Diceros bicornis minor: one gene and its partners. The protein of the gene in region 2 binds, or shares a complex with, the protein of the main gene of each other region. Links are inferred from orthologs where the notes say so. Each region holds a gene or a part of one and is shown on either strand. Other genes may lie near its edges. The genes, in order: PPIL2, SF3B5 and SF3A2.

Region 1 (4,801 bases), on a different chromosome or scaffold from region 2:
TTCACTTCAGACTTTGAAACTTCCAATTTCTCCATCTGCAAGAAACAAAAGAAATCTCAGGACAAGTTTGGGGGCCTCACCGTGAAGAAAAACACCTTACACAAGAACTCTGAGAACTATGTGACTTTCATTCAATCAGCAAATACGTCAGGCTCATCCTCAGTGTCCACCCTGAGGTTGGTGTTAGGGGGACAAGGGACGGGATGGGAGCTGGGAGCTGACCGAAGAGGTCCTAACCCAGCCTGGGGGCTGGGGCGCTGCCTGCAGTGAGAGTGTAGAATAAGCAGGAGTCAGGAGGGGCAGGTGGTTCGGAAGGGCATTAGGGAGGCACTTAGAGGTGGCATGGAGAATGACATCCACAGGGAGAGGTGGGTGTGGGGCTAAGGGTGTGGGACTGGAGACATGGGGGGCATGGTTCTCTACCTGTATGTTGGGAGCCCCAGGATTCTGCCCGGTACGCTTGGGGCTACCTTGCTCGGCTGAGGCCAAGCAGGTGGAGCTGTGCCTTCAACCCCACCCCAATTCTCCAACCAGAGCAGCCCCCTCCTATCTGCTTTATCTGGTGCAGTTCCACTCAAGACTCAACCCTGCAGAGCGTTCTCCTGCTTAAAACAAAGTTCTGAGAGCCACTGTTGTGGGTGTGGGAGAGCTGCTGGGGTGGTTCTGAGCAGAGGGCAGAGGCGGTCCCTCCCAGGGCCGCACAGAGTGGGGGATGTGCCCACTGACCAACCTGCAGGGCAGCGGATTGTAAGGACCAAAAACCCTGGGCATAGTGCAGACAGAAGGCGATGGAGCCACCTCGGAGGCCATGGTGGTGGCAGGTGGTGGCAGTGGCAGAGGTGGCACCAGGGTTGGTGGCAGACACAGGGAGGTTGACCGGTGCCTCAAGAGAATGGGTTCTGGTTTTTTCAACTTCCGCTTCCTCCTCTTCTTGGCATCTGTGACAAAAGGTGCCAATGAGTGCCTACTCCATGGCCAGAATAGGATAGAGTGCGGGCCAAACACAGTGGTGTGGGGTCTTCACACAGTCCCTCCAACAAGGAAGAGAGGTAGGCCCCCGCCAAAGGGCACCACATAACAATGCTTGGAGCCGCTGTCGATGGGCGCCAACAAGCATCACCTCACCGAGCCCACAACTATCCCACGGGGAAAGGGTACTTTTGTTTCTATCTTACAAGCGGGACCGGAAGCTCTAACTGTACAAGACACACACAGGATCCATGCCTGGGCTGTCTGACTTCAAGGCCAGAATTTCATAGGAAGTGACAGAGTGTCACAGCCATCGAGGGCTGGGCTTGGCCCAGGCAGGTTGGTCTGCTACCCAACCCCCCAAGCATCACGGAAAGCTCCTGAGTCTGCCAGCACCCTCATGGAGCATCCAGGCCCTAGACAGAGAGCGCACTGACTACACCCAGCCCCAGGGCCATCCTGGGGGTGTGCAAAGGGCCCTTCCTCTATTAGGAAACCCACATGAACTAGGTCTTGCAGAGGTGGGCTCAGGGAGGGAATCTTTGAGGGGCAGAACTCTTGAGTGAGCCCCCTCTCTTCCCTCCGTGTTAGGTCTCCCTCCTGGATTTGACGAGTCTGGCTATTTCTACTGTTCAAAGTTGGAGACTACCAGCAAAGTGGGTGTTAACAAGCTCCTCATACAGCCCATCAGAGTGGCTCACCTAGAGTGACAATCACCACCACCAGGGAGCACTGGCCTAAGAGACTGCGCCTTGGAGCACCCAGACCTGAGTTCAAGTCCAGACTCTCCTACTTACTATGTGACCTTGCACGTTGGCCAACCTCCCTGGGCCTCTATTTCCTCTTCTACAAAACAAGGATAAATAACACTAATGCTACCTCGGGTAAGAGCTACGTGTGCTGTAGGACCAGCCGTCAGATGAAATGGTGACGTGGAGCACTCACACCCAGCATCACAGAAAGGGGGACCCCCAAGTAAGCTGGGCCTCCCAATGGGATGGAGAAGAAAGTAGCCCCAGGACTGCTGTGGTCTATCACTGAACCTGAATCAGATCAAGGCTTCAGAGCCACTGTCTGAGAAATACAGGCAGAGGGGAGCAAAGCAAACACCACCAGTGGACTATGACAGCAGATCTAAACCCATGAAGTGGGATACCCCGAAGGACAACACAGATCTTTGAGTCAGTGGCATGAGAGGGAAAGTAAGGGTATCTCACTTCAAAGGGACTTCCACAGACCTGGCCACAGATCCTTGTTTGCCATCCCTGTGTGGTCACTAACATGGCCCCCTTGCATTTCACTCTTACAAGTGCCCCGATGTGGACACAAATTATATGGTCACCCTAGTGAGAAAGAACCTAAGAGGCCTAACATGAACACAGCATGTGGGCCTTGTTGGGTCCTGACACGACAGACCAAGTGTAGAAAGATTTTTGTGGACCATCCAGGAGTTCTGACTATGGACTAAGTAAGTATCAGCTAATATTAGGGAATTGTTGTCAATTATATCAGCAGTAATATCGTGATTTATGTCAGAAACTGTCTTTTTTTTATTAAGAAGCATTCTAAAGTATTCAGGAGGGCCGGCCCTGTGGCTTAGCAATTAAGTGCGTGCCCTCCGCTGCTGGCGGCCCAGGTTGGGATCCCGGGGGCGGACCAACGCACCGCTTCTCCAGCCACGCTGAGGCGGCGTCCCACATAGAGCAACTAGAAGGATGTGCAGCTATGACATACAACTATCTACTGGGGCTTTGGGGGAAAAATAAATACATAAATAAAATTATAAATAAATAAAGTATTCAGGAATACAATGATGTCTGAGATTTCCCTTAAAATGCTCCAGAAAAAGAAAAAGGGGATCTAGAGAATGAAACAAGCACGGTGAGATGGGGACAGCCGCTGATGCTGGGTGAAGGGTACTCGCGTGTTTACTGCAGTCTCTAGTTTTGTGTATGTTCATTTTCATAATAGACTTTTAAAATAAACACCAAATTTAGAAAAAAGTGCCAACCACAGGACCAGGGACAAGGGGCCCTGAGTCAGGTTTGCTGGGTTGCTGGAGCCAGACACAGGGTGGGCCTCACCCTGGGAGTAGAGGTGCGCGCGGTAGATGCTCCTCCTCAGCTGCTCCAGGCGCCGATGTATCTCCCCGGCGCCCACGCAGTTGCAGTAGTTCAGCTCCCCCTGGACAGCACAGAACTTCCCTGCGACAGCAGCGGGAGGACGCCAGACGGGTGAGACGCCTGCCCGCTGCACTCCCCAAGCTGGGCCGCCTCAGGCTTCTGGGAGACCCTACCCTGCAGCTCCAGGAAGGCCCGACGGCCCCCCCCACCCCCAATCTCCGCCCTACAGGGCAGGAGCGGGAGTGATGACAGCACCCGCCCCCTGGTCCCCCCTCCCCGCAGCCCGCCCGCCGGCCCGCACCCAGAGGAAGGAGAGGAGCCCGCGCCGCTCGCACTCGGCCTGCTTGCCCTTGCGCACCACTCGCTCGGCCAGCTTCGGGTTGCGGTCGATGCTGCGGAAGAGGCGGCGCAGCGCGCGCTTGGTGTAGGTCGTCGCCTGTCTCTCGAAGTCCTCCTCGGAGATGCGCTGGCAGAAGGTCACGCTCGGGGGCATCTCGCTGTCGAACTCGTCCAGGACCTCCATCTGAGAGGGCCCGTCCGGGCGGGGACCGCGGAGACGTACCAGCTCTCCATCCAACCGCCGCCGGCCCCCTCTGCGATCAACCGCTCCAGCCAATCCCCCCTAGATCGCGGGCGGGGCCCTTCCCTGCCAGACGGCCGCACGTGACAATGCCCCCTCTCTGGGCATGCGCTGTCGCGCCTTCGACGGGGCGAACGCAGCTGCGCTCGGCGGAGGCCCTATCGCGCTAGGATCCGGCAGAGCTTTGATCAGGGCCGGCCAACGGCCACGCCAAGAACACGGTCCGCACCCCAACTCTTCCAACTTCTTTAAGGCCCTCACCCCTCGGCCAGCCTCCAGTCCCTTCCGCTTCTGGCTGCTTCCCCTCTTCACCGTGTGTAGACAGCACCCCAAGCACTTCACTCTGCCCCTAACTCCTCTATCCCTGGACTCTACCCTCTTCCTCTCCTGACTCACTTCCCAGCATCAACCCCCCGGCCCCCTCCAGCTTCTACCCTCTCTCCTCCCCTTCATAACCACTTCTTTGCTCCATACTCGCTGTGGCCTCTTCACTGGCGTCTCCAGCGGCTCCTTATGCGTTTCAAAAGGTCCTGTCTTCACCCTACCATCTTGATCAATCTTCCCTACTTCTTGGTCCCAACCCAGAGCTGACTTAACTAACCCTAACCTGAGTCTCAGGCTCAGACCTCACTTGAGCTCCAGACCCACATCTGAGTGTCCTAAAGGGACGTTTCTGGGGCGTTCATGCTGAACACATCCAGATTGGCACACCCCAAAACCTTCCCTCCAACCCCAAAACCTGCTTCTCTTCACCCTCTCCTACTTGGTCAGCACTGACACCACCACCCACTCTGCCACTAATGAAGGAGGTGCACCCTGGACTGCTCGCTCCTGTCCCCTCCACCCCCCCATCAGCCCTGAGATACATGGAGTGTTCCTGAGAAGTCTAAGGAGATTTTTCACTTCCCTCCGCCAAACCACCAGCCGGCTAGCCTCAGCTCTCCCCAACAGAGGAGGTGGCACTCACTTTTTCCTGCTTTGAGGTCAGAGAGCACGGTGGGGACAACCAAGGAGAAAGAAGGCCTGGCCTTTGTGTTTGTCTAGGGGTGCAGGTAGACTTAGATACACCTGGGTTCAAATCTCCATTCCGCTTCCTGACCCTGTGGGACTTACAAAATGAGACTTGACT
Region 2 (3,889 bases):
ATGGGCACGGATGTTAGCCCAGGGCCAATCTTCCTCAGCAAAAAGCAGAGGATTGGTAATAGATGTTAGCTCAGGGCGAATCTTCCTCAGCAAAAAAAAATCTTCCAATGGCTCCCCATCTCTCTCAGGGTAAGAGCCACAAGTCCTGACATTGGCCTACCAGGCTCTACTCTCATCCACTCCCCCTCCATCACCTGTCCCTCTGCTCTTCTCCTTGCTCAACCTCTCCACATATTTGCCTCTTTGCTGTTCCTCCAATAAGCCAGACACAAGCCCAGCTTTAGGACCATCGCCCTGGCAGTTCCTTCTGCCTGGAAAGCAATTTCCCCACTTTTCTGCATGGCTACTTCCCTCACTTCCTTAAGGCCTTTGCTCAAATGTCACCATCTCAACGGTCTAACATGAGCATCTTATCTAAAATTGCAACTCTGCCGCTACTCCCATCCTCCACAGCACCTTCTAACATTTGCTTATTTACATCTACAGTTTGTGTGCCCCCCCTCCCCTCCCCCCACCGCCAGTATAATGTAAACCCCCAAAGTGTGGAAAAATGCCTGCCACATAGAGCTCGACAAGTATTTGTTGAATGTTGAATGAATGAGAAAACTCGTTTGACAGCTTGTTATTTCTCAACACACGCCCAGAGAGTCCCAAGAGTAGAGAGGATGCAATTTACAGAGAGAGTAGAGGGCAATGACCGTAAAGATTTTTTGAACAAGAGAACAAAAAGGTGTGATGCAATGATCACAAACCTCAATACTGAAAGCACTACCGGACTGAAAAAGGCTCTTGGGAGAAGTCGGCGGGTGGGGGGCATATGATAAAAGTTGTCCAGGGCGGATTTAAGCGCCTGGCAATGTACCCTGGCCCCGCGCCCACCCCCACCCCCACCCCACCCTCTCACGAAACCACAGTCCCCAAAACCCTCCCTGGACCCCTCCACCCGATCACAAGTAGTCCACACCAAGAGACCGAAAAACTTCTAAACTTTATGGAAAAGGCAACAACGACAATCAACCGGCCAAAAACGAGCCTCCGAACGCCGTCTCGCTGCAGTGCCGTGTCCCCTTAACGCTGGCTGGCGTTGGGATCTCTCCAGGGTCGCGGTCCCCAGGGGTCCTGACGGTCGCCCAACGCCCTGTTCCGAGGCGTCCAGAGGAAGGCAGGTCGGGCGAGACGCCGCGGGTGAGCGCCTCTGCACCGGGAAAGCACGGGGAGCAGCAGCCACGGAGAACCGGTCGCCCCGGGGCGGGAACGCGGGGAGCCACGGCACACGGGAGGGACGCGGGGAGCCACGCTCCGCCCGGCGGGGACCCGGCGGGGTCTCAGTTCTCCTCGGGCTTGTCGGCCGGCGGCCCGCAGGGCTGCAGCATCTTCTCCATCAGGTTGAAGCGGACTCGCGCTTTGCTCTCGTTCTCCGCAATGGCGAAGTAGTTGAGAAGGTCGAAGTGGCCCATGTAAGAGCAGTAGGAGTCGCGGTGCTGGTTCACCAGCCACTCCCACTTGGTGGTGTCGGCGTGGCCCGTGCCGATGTACTTGGACTGCAGGTGCTCCAGCTGGCTGTGGATGGTGTAGCGGTCCGTCATCTCGCCGCCTTCCCGCTGGATCCCAGGCAGAAACCGCGGCGGGCAATGGCTGCTCTAGCGTTTCACGCCGGAAAATGAACACCCCACCGGACCTCTAGGACTGCGCCGTCGCAGGCGAATGGCGTCACAACGACGGAGCCGCGGGGACTCGCGGTCCTAGGGCTCAGAGGCGGAAGCGGAAGCGTATTCCGTCCCGGATTGGAGTTGCCTAGGCGACGCTACAAGTCGGGCCGCCCCTACAGAGAGCCCGCCCCCTTCGTAGAGCGTTGCATGATGGTCCATTTAGCGGCGCTTTTCCTAACCGGGAGCTTTGCATGCTGGGACTTGTAGTCTCCCAGGGTTCGTGCGCGCGGGCTTTTGGGACCCATCGCCTTGGTTTAGGAGGCTGTGGGCGGTCTGATGGAGGGTGGTGTCTTGGTGGCGGGGAGCATCTTTGGGCGGTTTGGGGCTGCGAGGAAGTAGGACATTCAAGTAGGACAGGGCTACAAGCGACTGGGAAGATGAAGTCTTGGTGTAATTCTGCTTTTGGAGCTAACGTGACAGCACGGTAGCCCCTTCACGACCAGGTGAAATCAGGAGACGCGGGTTCTGGTCCCAGCTGTGTTGTTTAGAAGTTGTGTGGAGTGCAAGTCAATTCAGCGCTAGCAGGGCCGCCGTTTCCCGCCCGGTGACCCGTTACGACGCGTTCTGGCCCTCACATCGGGGTCCCCCTTCCTTATTTTGACACCCTCCCTCTGACTCCCCACCTCGCCCTACACGCCCCCACCTGCGCTTCTCCGTGTTCCGTGCTGCTCGCCTCTCCCGTTCTTGGTACAAGCTGTTCCCTCTGCTTGGAATGTCTTTGTTCCCTTGGCAAACACTCTTCCCTTGAAGTCAGCTCGAAAGCATCTCCTTGAAATTGGCTTTGGCCACTCCACACGTGTAAATTCTCCTTCCTCTTTGCATCTTGGACGCTTCGTTATTACCGCTTTATATCCTAATTTTTGGTTTAAGGACTTCCTCACGCGAACGCAGACTGCTTGAGGAAAGGAGTTGACTTTTTTGGTGGCATCTTTTCTCGTATGCTTCTTTGATGGTATCTGTTTAGGGTATCCTCATAGCCTGGCAGAGATTACGTTCTTAAAAAACGTTTGATGAACGGATAAACAGCTGTATTAGAGCCAAATAGAAGAAACTCGTTATTGGGAGAAAGACAACTTTAAAATATTTTTTATTGTGGTACAAAGTTGCAGTTATGTAGGATGGCTAAGTCTAGAGACCAAATAGCACGATGACTATAGTTAATGCTATGTTGAATACTGGAAATTTCTTTAGAACGTAGATTTCAGGTGCTCTCACCACATACACACACAAGAAGGTAACTATGTGAGGCAATGGATATGTTAATTAGCTTGACTGTAGTAATCCTTTTTTTTTAAATAATTTTATTTATTTTTTCCCCAAAACCCCAGTAGATAGCTGTATGTCATAGTTGCACACCCTTCCAGTTGCTGTATGTGGGACGTGGTCTCAGCATGGCCGGAGAAGCCGTCCGTAGGTGCGCGCCCAGGATCTGAACCTGGGCCAGCAGTAGCGGAGCGTGCGCACTTAACCACTAAGCCACGGGGCTGGCCCATGTAGTAATCCTTTCACTATATCAAATCATCATGTTGTACACCTTAAATATATGCAATTTTTATTTAAAAGAAATTAAAGAAAACGACAAAATGTTCCTTATAGGATCAAATGCTTGTACCAAAAATGAAAAAAAAACAAACGTTTTATTCTTTGGTTTAACCTTTGTTATAACAAACATGTCATTCCTAAAATGTAGAGACTATTATAAGGCATACTCGTGGACTCACCATCTAGATATATCAAACCTTGCCATTTTGCCACTTTTGTTTCCATCTTTGTTCTTTTGTTTTGGCTGTGTTTTTTTAAGAAATAAGACTATACAAATAAACTTGAAGTTCTCTGTGTTCCCCTCCCTAATCTGTTCACTTCAGGGTACTATCTTGAATTTACAGTTAATCATTCCTGAGCCTCTTTTTTTTTTTGAATGCTGAAAGTTTGTGTATCCATCAACAGTAAGTATTATTGTTATGCATATTTTAAAGCTTTATATAAATGATACCCGGTATGTATGTTATGTAAGTTGCATTTTATCATAGTCAGTATCCATGTTGATATATGTAGCTTTAGTTAACTTTTACTATTGTGCAGGATGCTACTGAATTAATATACCATAACATCTCCATTCTCTCTATAATGGACATTTAATTTCACGTTTTTGCTATAAGAAGCAATGCTTAATTGAATAT
Region 3 (4,801 bases), on a different chromosome or scaffold from region 2:
GCTCCTACTAGCCAAGGGATGCCAAAACTGCCAGCGACCCCCAGAAACTAAGACAACATGGGACAGATTTCTCCCTTGTAAGAATCCTGCCTGCCGACAACCCGATCTCGGACTTCCGCTCTCCAAAACCGAAAAAGTGAATTTCTGCTGTTTAAGCCCCCCAACCTGTGGCACTTCGTTAAGGCAGCCCCCGGAAACTAGCAGAGGCTCCATCTTCCCCTGCATACTCCACACCCTCTCCAGAGAGCCCAGAAGTAATCCTCCGGGGCCCCCAGCAGAGGACCGGGCACCCCGAGAGGGCACTGGTCCCCAACAAGAGGTGGCGTTCGGGGTGGCAGCTCGGAAGTGGCTGGGACAGGTGTGCCCAGCCTGGGACCCCAGGGGAGGAGCGCAGGGGAGGCGCCCGGCGGGCCCGGCGGACTTTGTTTCTGGGGCGCGGCCGGGCGGAGCTGGGTCTCGGCGGGCCTCGTCCCCGCCCCCCCGCACTCAGTGATGGACACTCACTGATGGAGAAGCCGCTGGGCTCTTCCTGGGCGACTCTGCAGTGCTCCAGCAGCAGGGCTCCGACGGGCTGGGGGCAGACGCGGCGATGGGGGCAGACTGCGGGGAGCCCGACCCGGATCCCTCCCCTCCCCTCCCCAGCTCCCCCCCCCGCCGCCCTACCTCGGCCTCATCCGTCCGGAAGTAGAAAAGGAAATTGACCACCAGCTTCACCAGCCGCCGCTTCACCACTGCGGGCACAGGGCGGGCTCGCGCGGACTCGGCGGGCTCAGCGGCCGGCCTCCCCGCCCCGGCCCGCCCGGCCCGCCCGCCCCGGCGCCCCGGCCCGCTCACCGCTGCCCTTCTTGGGGCCCCGCATGCCCAGCTCGGCCGCCAGCTCGGCCGGCTGCCGGGACAGCGCCTGCAGCTCCTTCTCGTTGAAGCGCATGGCGCCGCTGGGACCCAGGACGCGGAGCCCAGGCTGCGCCCTCTCGGCCGCCGTCCCCGCTCGCGCCAGAAAAGTCCCACGGCGCCGTCCCGGAAGCGCTCCCGGAGCTACTGCGTCTGCGCGCCCCCGGGCCGCTTATCCTGTCAATCATCGGTGCGTGGCCCTGACGTCACCCGGCCCACCGCGGCCGAGCGAAGCCGTCGTGGGCCGCACGGGATAGTGGGTGAGACGCACCGTCGTTATATATAACCATGAAGTAAGCTAGGCCCGCGTGGCAACAGAATAAAGCACCCCCACGACTGCTGGCACCCTTTACTGAAGCGGACAGGAGAAGGCAGATGTTGGGCGAGTCGCAGCCCTTCCTCCCGCGAGAACTGGCCTCGCGGGAATTAGAGGCGACCCAGAGGGCGTCGAGAGCCTGGTGCGCACGCGCACTTCGGGAACCGGCCCGCACTCTCAGCCCCGCCCTTTTCCCCTCGCGCCTCCAGAGCGTCCCGCCCACGTCGCCGGCGGATCGGGCATGCGCACACGGGAGGCCCTGCTCCGTTTGCCCCCGGAAGTGCTTCCTTAGCCCTTGGCGCGCGTGCGCAGGACGAAGTCGTGGCGGCCCCCGCGGCGGCTGAAAAGACAACGGTATCTCGTTGTCGGGTGCGGGTAAGGAGCGGCGCGGGGCGAGGGCGGCGGCCCCGGGGCCCGGGGTTCCCTGGAGGGGAGCGGACGTGGGCGAGGCGGGCCTGCGGCGGGGGGGCGCGGGTTGAGGGCCGAGCGGCCGCGGCGGCCCGTGCCCGGGGATGTGGGGCCTCAGCGTCCCGGGCGCCCCCTGCCCGTCGGAGCTCTCCCTCCAGAGGCCCGTGGGCCCTGGGAGCTCCAGTTCCCGTAACTGTGGGATCGGGGGCGCGGCGGTCCCCGCTCCAGGCCAGCTGAGGAATAAGCGAGGTTTGGGGGCAGAGTGCCCAGCCCCGCGTCGGGGGCGACCGGAGACCGTGAGCCCGCCCCGTTTGGCGAGCGAAGCCCGAGCTTAAATGACTCGGATGCCCGCTTCCTCCTTCTTCCCTTTGGCCGCGCAGAACCCCCGAGAGGAGCCGCCGAAAGTGTTCTGTTGGGCAGGTTTACGGGGATAGTAGCGTGCTCATCAAGAACTGTCATTCATCCCTGTTCCCTGGTCCCTCCCCAGAGGCCACGCCTTTAGAATTCTGGATGCTTGGCCTTAATCTTTGTAAAAAACTTAATTTTTTCTGAGTGTGTCGGTTTTAGACGTGACCTGCTGACTTTCTACCGTGATTGATGAGATTATTTCTGCCTCCCACCCACTCGCTCCAACGTCGCCTTCCATCCCTTGAACGTGTTTATAGAGCCTGAGCTTTAGCGAAATCATTAGTCCTGTATTTTAAAACCGAAAATATTAAGATGTTCATCTGTGTCATTTTCCTTGTTCTGTTTTTCCCCAAAAACTCATTAATTTTTTAATAATTTTTCTTTCAAAACTCCAACACCGCGCACACGTATTTTTGCGCAGTTGTGAAGAGCATGTCTTGGTAGCTTTTAAGAAATCCGTTGACTGATTTGAGTTCTTGGTTATCTGAAAATGGCTTTATGTATTCTCAGAGTTAGAAGTTCGGGTATAAAATTCTAGATTGAAAATCCGTGTGGAGAATTGTGGAAAGCGTTGCCTGCCTTACTGAGAGGTCTGGTCCCATTCGGGCTTCTGAACTTTTATTTCTAGCTTTGTTTCTGTGTCGTAGAAACTTAAGGGTTTTCCTTGCTGTTGTGAAGTTTCCTGATCTGTTTATTGAGGATCTGTTTATTTGTTGACCTGGGTGGGTCTGTTTCCTTGGAAGAATTAGGTCCTTTCAGTCCTGGGTTTTTTCGTTTCTTTGAACACATTCTCATGTTCTCTGTGTGATAACACTCTCCATGCTTCTTTCTGTTCTTCTTCTGGAATTTCATCTAGGTTCTTGTTCTGTCTCCTGTTTTTTCATTATTTGGTTCTCCCTTAGGAAATATTTTTTTAATTCTTATCTCTGAGCCCCGTGTTCCATTTTTTGGGGGGATCATCCGGTCTTTACTGTCCAAGGATTCATTCTGGTTTTGCTTCGCCTTGCTAACCTTTGGCATCCTGTTCTAGGGTCACGGTGCAGTAGATAACTTCCCGGACAGTTCAGGAGAACGTTAACGTTTCCTATTGAGATTTCATCAGGTTTCTGCTTTCTTGGCGACACAGCGATCCTTCGTGTCTGTATTGTCAAGTTGCCCGCTCTGCGGGTAGAGCCCAGTTTCTCACCTAGGGAGTCTCCCTGCTCCGTGGGCCCGGTGGGGAGCTGGTGTTTTCTTTGGGGCGTGGGGGACCCTAGCTGTCAGTGTCTGAGAATGCTTTCTCTGGCACTCTTTCCCCAGAAGAGACTCCTGCTGTCCCCTGGGCTGGGGGCTCCGGGCTGGGCCTCCCGCTGTCTGGACCTGGTGTGGGGGAGCTGCTGTTCCGTGGGCGGGTTTTGATGGAATCCCCTCTTTTCAGCCTGGCGCTCCCCCAGCTCTCTTGTCCCACTGTGTCCACATCTCTAAGCCAGGAGGCCCTTCATTCCAATTCTTCTAAGAATAAAACTGCCCTGCCCAGGGAGTCGAGGGTGCCTGGGTCTGTGACCTTTCTCTCATGGCAGAGACTCTCATTTCAGTTGCGGGGGGGGGGGGGGCGGGGGGGGGTAGCGTGTGTTCAGGGAGCTGTGAGTAACCAGCACTTTCAGTTTCCGATGGTTACTGGTTTTCACTCTCATTTGGTGAGCGGTTACGGATTTGTTTGGGTTTCCTGAGCCCATCAGCTTCTCTCAGCAGGTGCTTTCTGCGACCCCTGGCCCCCATGCGCATTTCCCGGCCAGCCTCCGGGACTGAGGAGCCCAGTCTGGCCGCTTAGGAAGGAGTTGGGCTCATCCTCAAACGGATCGGAGCTGTTGGCTTGGTTAACCTTGTTGCCTTCCAACTCACTTTTCCAGCTCCTCCCAGCCATTGTTCCAGGAGAATGTTCTGAAGGTGTCACTAACGCATGACAGGAACAGGACATCAGCAGACAGGTGGCTCTCTGTCCCGGCCCCCGCAGTGGTGCCGCGGGTCCCTCTGAGCTCCTGCCCTCGTTCCGAGAACACTCGTTGTCGTTGGTTGGTTGGTGTGATGACAGCCGTCCTGACTGTGTAGGGTGGTGTCTCACTGCAGTTTTCACTCGTGTTGCCCTGATGGTTCGTGACGTTGGGCACCTTTCCTGTACCTGCCAGCTGGCTGCTGAGTTAGTCAGAGCACACTCCCAGCCTCAGAGGCCCCCGTCCTCAGTGTTTGGGGAAGCGCCGTCCTCTCCCGGCCCTGGGAATCTGCAGGGGAGGCCTGCAAGTCACTCACCGGAGGGAGCCGGCTCCGGGCCCCCGGATTCACGCTCTGGGTAGAGGCTAGAGGGCAGGTAGTGCCTCTCGGCTCTCACATGCACTCCCCCTGTGCCAGCTTCCCGTCCCGAGGCCAGCAGGGAGGGTGGGGTTTTGCCCCTCGGGGGTGGGCAGTGCTCAGCCCGTGAGCTGCTGGACAGACGGCACGGCCTCCCCTGAGGGGCCTGCACTCGGATCTGGCCACAGAATCACTGAGTTCAGGGCCAACTGGCTGGCAGCCCCTGTAGGTGACGGGTGCGGGCTCCCTGGGCTCATCGATATGGCCAGGCAGGAGGGTTCCTCCGGGCCGTGCTTGCGTTCTGGCGCAGGGCTGTGCTGGTATCGTGTCCTCCTTTTTCCATGTTGAAATGTTGTTTATGAGATGAGGCTGATGGTTGAGAGGGGTTGTCTCTCACGCTTTGCCTGATAAGATTTAATGATTGGCAGCTCTGAATGGACTTGAGTGAAGTCA

Evidence for each region.
Region 1: SF3B5 (region 2) and PPIL2 share a complex: the UniProt entries of both Homo sapiens proteins name them as parts of the minor spliceosome. The link is inferred for Diceros bicornis minor from reciprocal best matches to the Homo sapiens genes SF3B5 and PPIL2.
Region 3: SF3B5 (region 2) and SF3A2 share a complex: the UniProt entries of both Homo sapiens proteins name them as parts of the 17S U2 SnRNP complex. The link is inferred for Diceros bicornis minor from reciprocal best matches to the Homo sapiens genes SF3B5 and SF3A2.

The regions. Positions count from the first base shown.
Region 1 is NC_080774.1:30,153,671-30,158,471, reverse strand, and holds the start of PPIL2 (RING-type E3 ubiquitin-protein ligase PPIL2), read right to left. Parts: upstream 3,206-4,801; 5' UTR 3,054-3,205; intron 939-3,053; 5' UTR 811-938; coding exon 727-810; intron 36-726; coding exon 1-35. UniProt on the Homo sapiens protein: Has a ubiquitin-protein ligase activity acting as an E3 ubiquitin protein ligase or as an ubiquitin-ubiquitin ligase promoting elongation of ubiquitin chains on substrates.
Region 2 is NC_080778.1:23,304,845-23,308,733, forward strand, and holds SF3B5 (splicing factor 3B subunit 5), read right to left. Parts: upstream 1,665-3,889; 5' UTR 1,587-1,664; coding exon 1,326-1,586; 3' UTR 970-1,325; downstream 1-969. UniProt on the Homo sapiens protein: Component of the 17S U2 SnRNP complex of the spliceosome, a large ribonucleoprotein complex that removes introns from transcribed pre-mRNAs.
Region 3 is NW_026691553.1:1,553,871-1,558,671, forward strand, and holds the start of SF3A2 (splicing factor 3A subunit 2), read left to right. Parts: upstream 1-1,471; 5' UTR 1,472-1,561; intron 1,562-4,801. Other genes in the region: PLEKHJ1 (pleckstrin homology domain-containing family J member 1), read right to left, coding at 505-571, 664-731, 835-928. UniProt on the Homo sapiens protein: Component of the 17S U2 SnRNP complex of the spliceosome, a large ribonucleoprotein complex that removes introns from transcribed pre-mRNAs.